Caenorhabditis elegans: one gene and its partners. The protein of the gene in region 4 interacts with the protein of the main gene of each other region in a pairwise test. Each region holds a gene or a part of one and is shown on either strand. Other genes may lie near its edges. The genes, in order: fbxa-167, T10E9.1, fbxa-88 and skr-20.

Region 1 (5,284 bases), on a different chromosome or scaffold from region 4:
CCAAATTGGCAAATTGCCAAAAAATTTGCCAATTTGGCAAGAGTTTTATATTTTGATCATATTACCAAATTGGCAAAAAATGTAGTTTTTGGCAAATTGGCAATAATTTCCTTTTTGGCATAGTGCCAATTTGGCAATTAGGTAAGCTTTTTTTTGCAATCTGCAAATTTGTCAAGAATTTTAATTTTCGCCATTTTGCCGGATTGGCGGAAATGTAATTTTTGGCAAGAATTTCTTTTTTCTGGCAAATTGGCAATTATTCATTATTTGAAATTGCCAATTTGGCTAGGATTTTCATTTTTTGGCAATCTGCCAATTTGGTGGAATCTAGAATTTTTGCCATATTACCAAATTGACGGACTTTCCATTTTTGGCATTGTGCCAAGTTGATAAGAATTTCCTTTTTTTTGCACTTTGCCAATTAGGCAAGAATTTGAATTTTTGGCAATTCGCCAATTTGGCGAGAATTTTAATTTTTGGCCATCTGCCAATTTGGCATGAGGTATAAATTTTGACAAGTTGCCAATTTGGGATAAGTTTTATTTTGGGAGTTGGGCAATTAGAGGAGAATTTCAATTTTTGGCAATTTTCTAATTTGGCAAAAAATTTTCAACAGCGTTTTATGGGCAAAAACAATTAAAACTGAATTTTTAGAAAGTTAAAATAATTCCAACAACAATAATTCTTGTTAATTAAATTTTTCGGTTGTGACAACGTCATCACAAAACATTCTAAACCAATTTAAAGATATTGAGTCCTAAGAAGCTAAAACTTCAAAAATAAATTATATTTTCAGCATAGTTACACCGAAAACACACCGAAAAGAAGAGAGAAAATGCGTTTATGGTCAGCGAGCGGCAAGAGACAAAAAACGAACGTAGAAGGAGAAGATGGGCAACACACAAAAATGTGACACATTTAGAGAGAGAGAGAGAGATAGAGAGAAAAACAAAAGACGCGAGCGGAATACACAAAAATGGGTGCAAAACGGGTGTATGAATAAATAATGGGCAAATATTGGAACAAAACGGAGGGTTTTGTCGGGAATAAAAGGAATATTTCAATAGCTCATAGTTAAAAATTTCAAGATTTTCACAAAAATGAATGTCAAACTTTAAAATTAGTATGGGACTTATTACTGTTGTGATTTTTGATGAGATGAGTTCAATTCTACCAAAAGGACACAATTTTCATTTTTGGTTTTCAGTACAGATAAATTATTATTTTTGAAACATTTCACTAAATCCGGGCCTTCATATTTCACTCAAAATTAACATTTTTCAGAATGTTTTTACAGAAACTTGTTTCAAATTTTGAGCTCTTTTTTAATTATATAACGAAATTCAGCTTTTTTTTGTTGCTATAATGCTATTTTTCTAGGTAGGGCACTTTTTTGCTCAATATGATTATAACCAATGTGCAAGAATTTCCAAAAATATTTAAAATGGTAGCATTTTGAAAAAAAATACTTTTTTGGGGCTTTTGAAATGTATATCGTAGAAACAGAGACGGTCATACATTTGTCTAAAAGATGAAAAAATCTGCTATTTTTTTAGGTAAGACACTTTTTTGCTACATGATAATAACCAATGTGCAAGAATTTCCAAAAATATTAAAAATGGTAGCATTTTGAAAAAAATACTTTTTTGGGTTTTTTGAAATGAATATCGTAGCTACAGAGACGGCCATACATTTTTCTAAAAGAACAAAAAATCTGCTATTTTTTTTAGGTAGGACACTTTTTTGCTAGATGAACATAACTACTATAAAATTTTTTTAATGGTGGTAGCATTTTGTTGCTCTTATGGTGCAAAACGACCAAACATTTAATTTTTTTAAAGTTTGTCCCCAATTTAATGAAAAGAATACGGTATTCTACCGGTCGATGCGACTCTTATCATTCTACTTCCAATTTCTCACTTGTTCTGTGCTGCTGTCTCTCCCCTCTCATATTTTTCATCTCTCTTGTCTATTTCTCTTTTCCATCTCCACTGCTTCCCCTCTTTCCATTTTCCCGCATTTTCATTGATTTTCCGTCCAATTCTAGAGTTTTTAAAGTTAAAAAGGTCCAGTAAAATGCCTGCCATCCTGGAAACCAACCCAATTGCTATTCGAGCTTGCATTCTCTACGAGGTCCGCCAAAAGCGGCCAATTTTCGAGTCTTTCAAGAATTTTTGCAATGCGTTTGGAAATGATTTTATGGAATATCGAGAATTTGAGCGCTGGTTTTATCGATTTTATCATGGAAACGAGGATTTGGATTATGATATGAGGTAAGTGTAAAGATAAGTTCTAAAATGTAATTTATTAGAAAGAAATTCAGCCGGGAACCAAAAACAGCATCGCTATCCGAGTTGCCAATTGAAATATTGTTCAAAATTGTGGAAAACTTGAATTTTCTGGACAGGTTAGTTTTAAAAAATGTTTTTCTTTGAAAATGTATGTTTTTTGGACGTGGGGATTTTTAAAAAAATATTCTTAAAATTAAGCAAAAAATATATGCATGATCAGAAGTGGGCGGCAATTACCGTTCGGCAATTTTTTTTTGTCGACAAATTTGGCAAATCGGCAAATTTCCGGTATGCCGATTTGTTACCAGAAATTTTCAATTCCGGCATCTTGCCGATTTTTCAGAAATTTTCAATTCCGGCAACTTGCCGATTTGCCGGAAATTCTCAATTCCGGCAATTTGTCGATTTGCCGGAAATTTTTAATTCCGCCAACTTGCCGATTTGCCGGAAATTTTCAATTCCGGCAACTTGCCGATTTGCCAGAAATTTTCATTTTCGGCAACTTGCCGATTTGCCAGAAATTTTCATTTTCGGCAACTTGCCGATTTGCCAGAAATTTTCAATTCCAGCAACTTGCCGATTTGCCGGAAATTCTGAATTCCGCCAACTTGCCGATTTGCCGGAAATTCTCAATTCCGACAATTTGTCGATTTGCCGGAAATTTTTAATTCCGGCATATATGAAAACTTTAAAATTAACAAAAAAATAAAAAGTTTTACTATGAAACTTATAAAGTAATTTCAATACTAGTATCTGAAAATTTAAATTAGGTCTTCCATAAGGTCAGGCAGGCAGGCGTTAAAACTCCTGCCGGCCTGACCTTAAGGTGACCCACGCCTGCCTCTCGCCTCAAAACGCGCCTTATGCTTCATTTCATAATTGGAAAATGGACAAATTAATAGAAATGACAAAATTTGAAGTTTGAAGATTCACATAAAATGTAGAAAATTTTCAGACAGGCGTGAGGCCCTGAAGCCGGGCCTGCCTTGAAAGCCCTACTTTAAATATTTCAAATAACACTTCCAAAAATTCAAAATTCCAGACTTCTCCTCCGCAACGTCTCGCCATGCTTCCGCAGCATCGCCGAGGATCACGTCAACGAGGTCACCAACATCTCAGTGACTTCTATTCCAAACCACGTACATGTATGCTTCTATCATGAAAGTGACTATACAGATATTATATGTAAACGTGTGGATGATGATTGTGTAATTACTAAAATGTCGCAATACGAGGATTCAAAGGATTGGAAAATTGAAGGAGTTTCTCATGTGACTGTTGCATTGAACTATCTGTCTAGGGTATTGAAGAGCCCGAAGTTGAAGCTGGAAAAGTTAAGACTGGACTTTTTGGAGCATAATAAAGAGGATACCCAGTGTATGGAAGAATTATTAACTGTGCTTGAAAATTCCGAACCCCATGTTCTGAACATTGAATTCGAAGGACTAAACTTCCACGAAACATCTAGTGTTCTCAAAAACCTGAAAAATGTTGAAGAGATACAACTATCAATGTACAGTATACAAGAGTTGTCTGGAATTGAGAAGCTCGTTGAGCTGGAGCAATGGAAGACAGCAAAGACACTTGATATATCGAGTCATGAAGACATTGAGATGGATATTAAAGATTTGCTGCACTTTCAATCAATTGATGTTCGTCTGAAATCGTTTTCAGTTCAGGATGCGGTTAAGGTTAAGGAGGTGAAATACTGGAAAATGTTTGACCCTAAATTAAATTTTATTCTGATTTTCAGACCCTCGAACTCCGCACCTCTGACTTCAGATCAGGAACGTTCAGAGTCCTTAACACAGATACTCGAAAAATCGGAAAAGTATTCAACCCAAAATATACAGACGCTGCTAACAACACATTCAACTTCAAGACTAAAAATTCCTCATTTGAAATAACTATGTGTTCCAAGGAAATTTATGTTAAACGGAAGCTATAAAAGGAGTCTAGCAGTCATAATTCCACGCTTATTTATATATCTTGTTGCCATAAATTGAGTTTAGATACTTTTCAGAAATAAAGTTTTATTAATGAAATATAATACTGTGCGCCCAACTTCCCCCTTAATTTTTCCGTTTTACCACATTCTGAAATTTTTTTGAAAAAATGGCTAATGCCATTCGATTCCAAATGTCAAAAACCCCGTGTCCACAATTTTTATGAAAATACATGGGCAACTACAGAAATTAGATCAAAAAATCATTTAAAAAAAAACCATAAATGTAATTGCAAAAGAAGAGTGTTTCAGATTCAAAATTGTGATAATAACATTATTTATAAGCATTCTATTCATATTTGAATGTTTTTGAAAAAATTGAAAAATTGAAGAAAAGAGAAGTTCGTCTCGATATAGTGCTATTTTTAGGATGTTTGAAAGTCCGCTGTGAGCTTGCTTCTAGAGTATCGCCGCTAAAAATTATCGAATGACTAGGTCTCATATGCAAGCCCAATTGGCCCTTTCTGACGAGCCCCTTGTTAGTTGAGCTTTTATGTTAATATTTCGTTTATTCGCACGTTGTTGTTAAATGAGTTGTATGAGTTGTTAAAGTTAACGTAAAACAAGGTTTCTTCGCTGAAAAGTGGCTGGTTGTTAAATAAAGTAGGTTTAAATTACACAAAATTTACAGAATTGCTTTGCTCACGGAACAATCGCTTTACCGCGACTGTAATAAACAAGCTCTAAAAATATTCTCAATTTGTTTGCATTATCATGTGGACGGTAAATTCCGGTGTGAATATGTTGGAAATCTATCGTGCCACACAAAAAAGTCGGTACCCATGTTTTGATAAAACACAGTTGCAAGAAGGCCATCATTTCTTTCTATATCGTATCCATCACTACAATCAACGCGTTCAATTCCGTCGCTGAAAAAATTTAAATAAAGTTTGACAACAAAATCCAATACTGCGGAAAAAACAAAAAAAAATGCCTGTATCTCTAGTAATCACTTTGCGCGGAAATATTAAACTGAACTCAGTTTTCC
Region 2 (4,277 bases), on a different chromosome or scaffold from region 4:
TCAAGTCATAGTTGTCTAGATCCGTAAGTTAAATAAAAAACTATTGCGTAGTAAAACTTGAACAATTTTGATATATTCTGGAGCACCAAAATTACTGAATTCGTAGCACAACTCTGATTTTTTGATAAGGCCTGCCTGCATAACATTCGTTTTTTTCAATTATTATTTGTTCAGTATCGCATCGAGCTCATCCTTCACACATGTCCAACCTGACCCAAAAGAAGTTGCGAACGAAGCCGGTGAGAATGTGAATAACGCTGAAAATCCAGAAGAAGAAGAAGTATACACTTTTGAATTTCCCAAGGAATTGTTTCTATATTCTAATGTTTTCAAGGTACATTTTTTTTCAATTTCAAATTTAAATAATTTTTTCGATTTTTAGAACCTACGAAAAGATGAATTCAAGTGGCGTTGTTGTCTCTGTCCACGTGCCCATGCTCACATTTTCACGACTCAACTCATTATGAGAATGTATGCTCTTCGACATATTGATCAACATCACAAGTACCTTTTTACTGAAGAATTCATGAATTATGAATGGTTATCGGCGAAACATGAAATCAGAGCTTCATTCGATATTAGAACATTCACACCTCTTCAGTATACGATTAAGGGAGAATCAACGTTCAATGCAACGTAATTTTTTTCAAAATATGTTCTTATCAGAACAAAAACTTTCAGAGATCCAAATGATTATACTCTTCCACAGCAATACTTTTTTATTCCAAAAGATTTCATCAACGAGACAGTCATTTGTGGGTTCTGCTATCGATCATTTAATAAAATTGATTTTCTACTTCATATCGTTCTTCATGGATTTAGAGTCGTCACCAGGTTCTTTTTTAGAATATTCTACAAAATTTTTCGTGAAATTAAACCCTTCGAATTTCCAGAGAAACTGCAAAACTTCGTCCAGCGTCTTATACTGAAACCGCGAATGAATTGATGGGACAAAATAACTATTCGGATGGTGGACTTGATGATGAACCACACAATATTTTGTCTGTCGATGGGAAGCGGCTAAAATCAAAAATGGATTTATTAGCTAAAAGAAGTTACCTGAATGTTCCTCGATTCTCAGAAGTAACTACGCCTGGCAAAAGTGAAAGAGACACTGATGGAGAAATTTATACGGTAATTCAAAATACTTTTAAAATTAAAATTATAAATATCAAAATTTTCAGCCAAGTGGTCGAAGATCTGCTATGAATGCTCGAAAACTTCTCACTGAAACCTTCAAAGTTCTCCAAGATAACTTTCGAAATAGGAAAGACACGTGGAATGAATCATCGTGCTCTTCTTCGTCTTCGTCGGATGAATCAAACTCTGAAGACGATAGATTCGAACGGAATTTGTTATTAGAAGCTACTACAAAAGATGAGAGACGAGAAAGATCGAAAAGTACAGAACTTAAAGTGAAAGATTTATCAAAAATGAGGCCAGCTGAAGTTCGTGAATGGGTTAAAAGAGAAGCTGAAAAGCGAGGAGTTGACTGGAAAGATCAGTCATCATCATCAGAAGGAGAAGATATGGAATCGGAAACTACCACGGAACGAATAGCAGGAAATAATTGGAATAATATGAGATTAAAAGATATCAAAGAACTGTGAGTTTGTAAAAATTAAATTAAATTTTTCAATTTTCTTTTTTCAGTGTTCGCACAGCAGCAAAAAGGAAGAAGATTGATATTTCAAACGATTCCAGTAGTGATTCAGATGATTGTTAGATTACGTAGTAATTTATTCGTTGTTAATTTATTAAAATAGTTTCAAAAATAGTTTTTCGATACTCAAAAAATAAATGCTTTCAATTTTTAAAACTATTTTCAACTTTTTTTTTTGTTTCCAACTTCTGTTGTACAGCTCAGGTCTCAGATTATTTGTGATATATTTTCAAAATTTCCGCCAAGGTTTGCTGTAACAAACTGATCCGAAATAATTGCTTTTTCTGAATTTCAGATGGTGAGAAAACCTATCGAAATATTAGACTTGCCCCCAGAATTGTTAGAGAAGCTTATCGAGAAATGTGATTTAATTTCAAGGTATTATTCTCCTTAAATAATTTTAAAAAAATCAAAACTTTAGATGCAAACTTCGTGCAACCTCTTCTACTATGAATCATGCTGTTTCATCTACAAAACTCTTCATTCCATCGGTCTATATCAAGGATCTTCACAGTGTAGGAGTTCTCGTAAAACTTACATTTAAACTATTCAAAGATGTACATTCTCTCAAGTTTAAAATGACTCCCGAATGCGACACAAGAATCTCCCAATCTTCGAAAAATGATATTATAATTGAAGGATCTCGACCAATTGATGAGGCTATCGCATTCCTTAATCGAATGTGTTTTCAAAATAATGTTGTTATTGGATTCCTAACTGTAGAATTATCAGATAATTTCGAGGAATTGAATAATAAGTTTATGGAGACATTAGATAACATGGAAAGTTCTCTAAAAGTTCAATCCATTTTTTGGAGAAATCCGCGAAAATGTGACCTTCTCTGGAAAATGTTTGATAAATGTGATGGAAGTTTGCTGAATGGTTTGAAAATAGACGGACAAGCTCGTGATGATGACGATGATTTCGATTTTCTCGGGAAAAATGCGGCAATTGTGCAAAAAATGGACAAAATCGAGGTAAGATGAGTTATGAATATATGCGTTGCACTTTAGAAAACATATAACTTGTGACTAGAGAAATTATGTGTTTCAGATCTCTACTATCACCACAGCAACCTATGAAGACGTCATGGCACTAAAAGCGTCAGTGATCTCTCTCAAATCCAAGAAGTTTACTGGTGACCTTATTTGTGACGTCATCGAGAAGTTCGTGGCTACCAGATCAACTGGATCGAAACTTGACATCATGAACCCAAGTGGCCTAGATTTTGAAAATATTCCTGCAGGATTTACACAAGTTGAGCAGGACTCTGGCCAGTATGTCATAATTTGACAATTATTTTTTGAATATCTTAATTTCAGCAATGTATATCACAAGCAACTTCCAGATGATCAAAGACTTGTAGTTTTATGGAAAAGTGAGAATTGGATTAATTTAGAAATTGGAAAAACCGGAAATTATGATTTCTCGCCTAGTTTTGTAAGTTCAATATTCAGTTTTCATGTCTCCAAATAAATACGTTATTTTTCAGAAGAAAATTCTACTCGGTCTACCCCATTTCGCTGACGATTCTTCGGAGTACGATGACAATTATGATGATTATGATAACGATGAGGATAGCAATTTTGATCCCGATTATGACTACGAACGTTATGAAGATAATCTCGATGAATCTGACTATGAAGATACAGATTATGGGGAAAACGAAGAATTCTATTAATAATCAAATTGTAACGTTTCGTTTTTTCTCTCGTTCTCTTATAATTTTATATAACTAGACGTTCAATAGATACAAATTAGAATAAATTTTCAAACAACATTTTCCCTTAGAACACCAACATGAATCCATATTTATCAAATGAGAATATCGAATTAACCCTCGCAATAAGGAGGAGAGGTACATTTTCAGGCCTTCTGTTTAAATTCGGCGTCAATTAGCTTCGCGATGGTGCTCAATTGAATGTTGGAAGTTCCTTCGTAAATCGTTCCAATTTTACAGTCACGATAGTATTTCTCGACGGGGAATTCTTTGGTGATGCAAAGAGCTTCGCCATTGCTGCCTCACGAACAAATGGTAATCCGTGTTGCTTCATACGAGCAGCATTGTAAACCAACAGACGAGCAGCTTCGATTTCAGTTCTGACTTGAGCAATTTGATGTTGCATTCCCTAGAAGTCTATTGTATATATATATTTCTCTGTCATGTTTTATGTCTCACCTGGAAATCAATAATTCTCTGCCCAAACTGTTCTCTTTGTTGAAGATATGGAATTGTCTGATCAAAACATCCTTGAGCTAATCCAAGCATTTGAGCTCCAATTCCGATACGACCAGCATTCAAATATTCAATTGCGTACTTGTAACCTTTAAACATTGTGTACTTAAATTGGAATTATTAATTCTATAGTCAACCTTTTCCAAATTCTCCAAGAATTGCCGACTTGTGAACGCGTACATTATCAAAATGAAGTGGGCACGTAGAAGATGAACGAACTCCCAATTTGTCCTCCTGAACTTGATGATTATTACGTCCATTTTAAAGCGGAACCGCAAAACTCGATTTGTTGCGTTTTTGTACAAACTACTGTACCCCCGTTCTCGCCAGGAATAAAATAACTGGAATACAGTAACCCCATATGCCTGCTTCCATTGA
Region 3 (3,967 bases), on a different chromosome or scaffold from region 4:
AAGCAAGTGCGTTATGAAATTGTGCATTTTGTTTCGGAAAAATTCGAATTTCTGATAGTGAATCAGCGTACAAAGCACACGGCGCAAAAGAGTCACGTATCTGAAAAGGAGCTTGATCTTTATTTTCAATGGAGTAAGAGATGGTACAAGTGAAAACTCCTGGATTGTTCTGGTTTTTTTTCCAAATAAAATTTGGATAGCATTTACTTTAAAAACAACCAAAATAACGAAGAACTTGAATGTTATGGTTTTGTGCTGCTCCAGTGCAGAGTCTGAGGATATTCAGCACGTAAAAAGTTTTTTTGAAATTGGCAATTCTTATGAGACTGTCTAGAAAAAAAAGAAACACAAATGTCCAGGTTCACTTGTTTTGTTATATCATTGTGGACTGCAAACAAAATTCTTCCTGTTTGTTCTAAGACCGCCATCCATGTAGGTTTAACTAGCAATATCTAGAAATTTTAATGCTAATAACTGATAGTAAAGTGATCTTTCTGATTCGACATGAGTTGCATGAAAACTTAGTAATGATTTCTGTTGGGTAATGCGTACTTAAATGTGTAACTCGTGTAAGGCTTCCGTGGTGGCAGAAGAATTTTCCTGCTTGAAACCAGCTTAAAGCTTCCCTAACGCCCGCCTGACGCCTGCCTGACCCCAAAAATACGACAATTAAACTTCGAAATTTGATAACATTTTTCTTATAAACATTAAAAAATAAATTTTTGAAACTGAAAAAAATTGGAAACTACATATATAATTAAATTTTTATTGTAGCAGTTTTAAATTATCAAAAATTATTCTTTTTTATATTCAAGGAACCATAAGAAATATCAATGATGAACATTTCATTATTAACTTCATACTCCAGTGAGGGCTCTCCCGCGTAGTCCGGCTTGAAAACTTTTGCGATTTCTGTCCTGTTCAGTTTCTGACATCGAAATCGTCCAGATTTGAAGTTTCCACTTTTTTTAAGACCCTGAAAATAATAGAACACTAACTATACATGTTTAGATTCTAAACTTGCATTTCTCATCTTCAAACAATCTTCCACTGTGAAAGTGCTCAGATGAATATCGAAATGCTCAAAGTGTAGTAGACTCTCCACAGGAATTGAAAACGCATCGCAATATGAGACACCTTTAAATCGTTTTGCCATTTTCCATTGTTCCAGATAAATAAGCTCATCTAATTTGTAACGAGCTTGTGTGCTAAATATTTCAATAAGCTCTAGCTCTCCAAAACATGGCAAAACCATGGCAACTTCACTAGGATGAAGTTCAAAGATTACACATTTTGCTTTCACTGGTTTCAAAGTTTCAAGAGTGCTCAGCAGGTTAGTGAAGCACTTGGTTCGAAAGTCTTTTTTTGTTACGTTGACGTTCAAGTTGATCTGTACCAATTCCAACTTAGTCTTTTGTTTTAGAATTTCAAAGAAATCCTTGAGAGCCAGTGTCTCAAAGTTTTCGTTCAGAACAGTGCATTTCCTGCTTCCCAACTTCACCATACAATCATCATAGTCTCTTCTGTATTCAATTAACTTTTCGTCAAGTCGAAGAGTGGAATATCGCTCGAAGGAGTCATAAATACCAATAGCAATTTCTTTAAAGCCGTGATTTCGATTATCAATAGCTGTTCGGAAGATTTGAGAGACTTTTCGAAGAGGTAATCTGAAACGTTTCCGACATTTTTTTCAGAGTTTGCTAGTTAATCTCACCTTTCAATGGGCTCCAATTTATCTAAAACTTCGTTGAAAATATCTGACGGCAAATCATAGATTGTTAATGTTTTTGTGGTTCCACTGAAACAAAATATTATCGAAAGTTTACAGAAATTGGAAAAGCACACAATATTGTAGGTATCATCCAGTTTAGCTTGTTTAGTTGGCTAGTTGTTAATCTGGAACAAAAATGAAACACTGAGTGGATAAGAATATTAACCCGAAATGAAAGTCTAGTCAAAATTTGAAAAGTGACGATTCTTTCTAGTGCGATAACAATTCAATGGGAGTTTGCTGAAGAATACTGATAAGAAATGACGTGTTCGTATATCAAGAACTTACAAATACTTGTTGACTTTTTAAATTTCTGAACGAATTTATTCAGTTTTAAGTTCCGAAAGTTTATTACGCAGCCAACAGAAATAGAGGTCCGCGAAAACTACTTGCAGTGCCGTAGAAGCCTACCACATAGGTTGATTAAAATAAAATCTACTTTCGTGCGAAAATTTGCTATATTTACATGCTTTATCATCATTCTCCCCTTGCAATCAAAACTATCGTTTGTGTTATCACACCATTGTATGTGAATCATAATTTTTCCAGAAAGAAACTAACTGCTTTAAACATTCAGACTTGAACGAAAATGGCCGAATTGGAGCCGGAGGGAGCTAGCATAAACAAGTAAGGAATTATTATTTTTTTAACTTCACCACTTGAGTTTTCAGAATAAAACAGTCATTGTTTGTTAATCTTCCGGCAGATGTTATCAATGAAATTTTGAAAAAGTTGACGCCAATCGATAAGTGAGAATTTTATTAAATTTTAAATTTTTATTAGACTCAAACTTGTCTGAAAACACCAAATTTCATGATGACCCTTTTTGAAATCTTTTCAAAAACAAAGTTATGGCCGCTCAAAAATTGACCTCAAGTTAGTGAAAGTTTGAAATTTGACCGACTTGTCAGCGGCTGGATACTAATTTTTTTTGAAATTACCGACTAATTTTAGGTCTAATAGTATCAGGCGTTTTCAAGTTGGTTTAGGTATTTTAAAGTCGATGGACGAAGAGAATTTAAACAATTTTTTACAAACTTAAAAATTAGTTTCCAGCCGCTGCGATGTCGACAAGCCGGTCAAATTTCAAATTTTCACTAATTTCAGGTCATGTTTTAACATGAAACGTTGCTAGGCAGCTTGTTCTAGCTTCAAAAGCATACAATTTTAATTATTTCAGACTGACTCTCCGAAAAGTTTGTACATTCTTCCGTGACACCATAGATAGCAAAGCTTATGGCTTCAAAATCATCGAGTTTCATCTTCTTTTTGATTGGGTCATGTTAGTTCTAGACAAGGAAATATTCAAATATGCCAGCAGAGAACAACATGGATGCTGGGTTAGCAACGGACTAAATGAGCATCATTTCCAAGAGGAATACTTTTTGAAACTTGCCATTGACGACTTGGCAGTAATACTGAAAGATCAAAGTCAGAAGCTGGATTTGTTAGAAGTCTGCGTATGCGATCGTGCTACAAAACGTTCTCGGGATTACTTTTTCCCTGCACTTCTTAAGATGCTGGTTACAGTTGATTACCGTAAAATCGAAAAGTTCGACGGTGATTTTCCAGAGATTTGGGATATTTGGAAGAAATATCAAGACACTGTTTTGTCATCAAATAAATAAGTTAAAACGTTCATTCTAAATTTTGTTCAAAACATAACAAAACATTCTCGAATCGTTCCGTAAATTCTTGCTTGGTTCAGCGACATGGGCAGCACCCCTTTGAACTTTTGAGCATCTTAGACTTTTTCAGCCGTTTTATTAATTAATTAAAAAAACAACAATAAGATTAAAATTTGATGGCAAGTTTTGGATGATTAGCAAGTGTATCTGTAGACTGAAATAATAATCAAAACGCCAACGCTCTAATATTTCAATTAGCGAGTAATCAAATACTAGGAAGTTTAAAGTGTTTAGCTGGATCTGTAAAAAGAACAATCGTTGTCAATGGAGTTTCAGAATTTTGTCGGCTGCACTGTGTACGTTTTCTTCTTCATCAATTTCGTCATTACAAATGCTTCCAACAATCTACCAATTGGACGGATTGCACCCATTCTTGGACCGCTATTCTGAAACAAGAAGTTGCTTACAAGTCTTCTATTTTCTAGAATTACTGTAACATCAAATAGACCAAAATGGAAGATTAGAGATGGTATCAAATCAAAAGACAGTGTTGAAAGACCATCCGTCA
Region 4 (3,361 bases):
CAACCGGCACTGGATATATGAATATTATGTATCTTTTAATCACAACTCTCGAAAAAGTTATCCCCCCAAAGTCTGAAGAATTGAGCATAGTGAAACTTTACTTAACTAACAAAATTGAAAAATAATATTCCACAAAAAAGGGCAAATTAAGGCAGATGAAAAAAAAAACTTTAAAAAAAAGCACACTATTAAATTTTCCAGATTTAGTAATCAGAACGCTGCATTCAATTCCGTCATGAAGTTTATAAACGTTTAGTTCTTTTAAAACCTAGTATTTTGCAATAAACACCAGAAATGTACAAGTTCGGCCAAATTGGATGCAAAATCAGAAAAAATCGGAAATAAAAATCCGGTAATTTGGGGGCTCACCTCATATTCTGAAACAACGAGAACTTGATTTACATATGGTTCTTTGATATTTAATTTTAAGCAATTTTTTAATTAGTAGTGACACTTTAGTTGTTTGTTTTGTTTTCCAACTATTCTTTTACATTCTTATAACTTCAATTTTTCATTTATGAGGTTTGTAAAATAATTTATTCACAAATAAACTTGAATCAAAGTGTATAAATATATTCTTTCAAACATCTTCTTCACAATATGTGAAATTAAACATCAATCAGAATCCGTTGTGAATGTCATTGCAGATGTTCCCTCTCCACCATTTGCCAACGCTTCCTCCATTTGTTCTTCATCTGACCTGATTCCATAGATCTTGCGAATTTCTTCCGTGCTTTTTCCTCGAATCAATTCTGCTGCGGCTGCACACCCCATATTCATCAAATCTTCGACTCCAAGCGCATGAGAAGCATTGAGTAGTGCAAAAAGAACTCCCGATTCCACGTTGAAAAACTGCTTGTCCCATTCGGAAAAATCGTGGTAACGAATTTTGGAGTCTCGTCGGGCGAGCGGGTTGTCCTGATAATGGTAAAGCCACTCTATTACAGCTTGAACAATCGATGAGTGGAATGGAACGAGAATTGGATCTGCTCGTTCACAATTTCTGTCGTTCACTCCATGGTCAATAAACTTCTGATTGATAAATGCACAAAATTTCATTGGTCCTCGTTCGACATTAAAAATTTGACCATCCTCTGACTTCAGTTTGTACAAGGGCGCAGATCGTGGTGTGGTCATGATGTGGAACTAAAGGTAATTGATTAAATAGTTTTGCAATTGTTTCAAAAATATTATTGAGTGGATTCAAACCACACAAAAATAAATATATAAATGAGATATCTTTAAAGTAATTTTTATTATTTATTTGGCGAATCATAGACCTGTGGAAAAGAGCTGGAAGAATACACTATGAATTTATTAAAGATGGAATGAAACGATTAAAAACTGGAATTGTAAAATTTTTTGAAGAAAAGTGAATGGCGTTGTGAGTCAAGTTGATCAAAGGCAAATTTTCTATATTACAAATCTACAGCGAAAGTTTTAAAATATAAATTGAACGAAGAAGCAGAGAAAATAAAATTGAATACAAGACGGTTGAACACGGGAAATTAGCATTAAATGTGGTGGTGGCTGAGAAGTATGGTGGTTGTATTTAAGTTTTTTTGTAGGGAATCGAGAAGAGAATTTTTGATTCAAACTTGAAAAATAAAGTTGCATTGTTTACAAAATTAGTATGGTTTTTGCATTTTTTCTGTAAAATATAAAAGACGAAGAATACTTTTGCTAAAATGTTGCCCAAATTATCACAAAAATTTCAAAAATGGGCTCAACTTTGATCTTATGATTACATTTTTCTCACTTCAAATATTTACTGAAATGAAAACAAATAGTCTAAATTTTCCCATACCATACGAAACACCACACATCTGAAATGAAATTCCTAAGCCGCTGCAGCCACCACTGGATATACTGGCTGCTCCTCCTCTTCATCATTCACCAATCCGTCAATAATCTCTCTAGGATTTTGTCCGACGACACGGCAGCACATGGCGAAGAGACCAGGTACAGTAAAATCCCTCGCGGCTCGGATTATATCAAAGAGCATGTTGTGCCTCACCATCAGAAACGACGCATCCCAGTCAGGAATATCATTGGTTTCCGGTTCAGATTCGTCGTAGGGCGGGTCGTGCTTATGATGGTCGCACCACTCGATCACTTTCCTCATCACTGTCGCAGGGATTTCTAGTTGAATTGGCTGCAGTTGATCGGCAGGAATCAGGTCTAATCCAGCATTTCTAAATAGGTCCTCAATCCGTCCTATCATTCCGATTGTTCGCCTATCTGCCAGAAATCTCTGCCCATCTGTTGACCGAAGTTTGTAGAGTATTACAGGTTCTTCAACTTGCATTACACTGAAATACTTGAAAATGTCTGTAGTAGAAAGAATGAAAAGAAGAAAAAAAATTAGCAAATAATAGTAATAGTCAGGATTCAAACTATTTCCTTAAATTTTCTAGATGAAGTTCTATTTGTATGTAGTTTCTTGCAGAAGAAAAAACTAAATTAAATCGTTTGACAATAAAATTCAATGTGTAATAATTTCTTTCGCACTTTTGCTTTAAAAAACGTAGCTGAAAATAAAGTTTTTTTATCCGATTCTTAGAACTATTACAATGTTAAACACAGAAATTTTTGGATCAATAAAGTGTATGTCAAGAATATGATGGGTGACCACTAGTTGGTACAAAAAAAATGAAAAAAAAGTCACTGATAAGTCACGACAATCATTACTTTCTGTTGAACAGTTCAATTACATAGCACATTAGGAAAAACTGATTTGAAAATAGCGTTTCAAGAATGTATTATTTTACTAAAATGTTTGAAAATCAAGATTTCAAGAAAATCGATAAGTTTATGTGCGCTCCTCAAGCACACCTTCAGCACCAACGTCTTCCCCCGAAGGCTGGCAGACGACGCGTTTCTCTTCCACGGCCATTAGAAATATGGAAAGTCACGTGAACTCACACAACACAACTATCAAAAGGAAGAGTGTCATCAGATAAGAACCTAATATTTCATTACAGGAAAGGTCTGGAAAAATTGATTTTTTTTTGTTTTCTTGTTCGGCTCACACGGTATTAGAACGACTAAATTATTCCTGTGAAAATAGCAAAAAAATTCGAATTCTAACTTCAAATTTGAAAGGGAAAATAAAATAACCAGTTTCCTCCTTTTTATGCTAGAAACTGACATATGAAACCTTTTTTCTTTTCATTCTTTCGAGAATGAATCAATCTTCCAACACACTACCTATTCCTGCAAGACAAGACCGCGACGCAGCCGCAACGCGCACTTATAAAGCTACCTCGAGCAAACAAAAAGAGAGTACGTTGTCATGGGTGATGAATGATGTCACTCAAGATTACTCCAACTCGGGGAAGGATTATTATCTGAATTTGAG

Evidence for each region.
Region 1: the proteins of skr-20 (region 4) and fbxa-167 interact in a two-hybrid assay, tested with the Caenorhabditis elegans proteins (one large-scale study listed by BioGRID).
Region 2: the proteins of skr-20 (region 4) and T10E9.1 interact in a two-hybrid assay, tested with the Caenorhabditis elegans proteins (one large-scale study listed by BioGRID).
Region 3: the proteins of skr-20 (region 4) and fbxa-88 interact in a two-hybrid assay, tested with the Caenorhabditis elegans proteins (one large-scale study listed by BioGRID).

The regions. Positions count from the first base shown.
Region 1 is NC_003280.10:13,639,486-13,644,769, forward strand, and holds fbxa-167 (F-box domain-containing protein), read left to right. Parts: upstream 1-2,003; 5' UTR 2,004-2,076; coding exon 2,077-2,273; intron 2,274-2,323; coding exon 2,324-2,407; intron 2,408-3,333; coding exon 3,334-3,991; intron 3,992-4,044; coding exon 4,045-4,239; 3' UTR 4,240-4,338; downstream 4,339-5,284.
Region 2 is NC_003279.8:6,543,152-6,547,428, forward strand, and holds T10E9.1 (F-box domain-containing protein), read left to right. Parts: upstream 1-1,958; coding exon 1,959-2,041; intron 2,042-2,084; coding exon 2,085-2,640; intron 2,641-2,716; coding exon 2,717-2,940; intron 2,941-2,985; coding exon 2,986-3,103; intron 3,104-3,155; coding exon 3,156-3,344; 3' UTR 3,345-3,442; downstream 3,443-4,277. Other genes in the region: T10E9.2 (C2H2-type domain-containing protein), read left to right, coding at 1-23, 175-334, 383-636, 682-834, 894-1,134, 1,185-1,606, 1,654-1,726; acdh-4 (Short/branched chain specific acyl-CoA dehydrogenase, mitochondrial), read right to left, coding at 3,577-3,792, 3,843-3,988, 4,037-4,133.
Region 3 is NC_003283.11:16,141,255-16,145,221, forward strand, and holds fbxa-88 (F-box domain-containing protein), read right to left. Parts: upstream 1,863-3,967; coding exon 1,846-1,862; exon of another isoform or gene 1,799-1,845; coding exon 1,715-1,798; exon of another isoform or gene 1,668-1,714; coding exon 1,025-1,667; intron 977-1,024; coding exon 788-976; 3' UTR 754-787; downstream 1-753. Other genes in the region: fbxa-18 (F-box domain-containing protein), read left to right, coding at 2,361-2,398, 2,443-2,520, 2,952-3,399.
Region 4 is NC_003284.9:13,222,401-13,225,761, forward strand, and holds skr-20 (Skp1-related protein), read right to left. Parts: upstream 1,138-3,361; coding exon 616-1,137; downstream 1-615. Other genes in the region: skr-19 (Skp1-related protein), read right to left, coding at 1,841-2,308.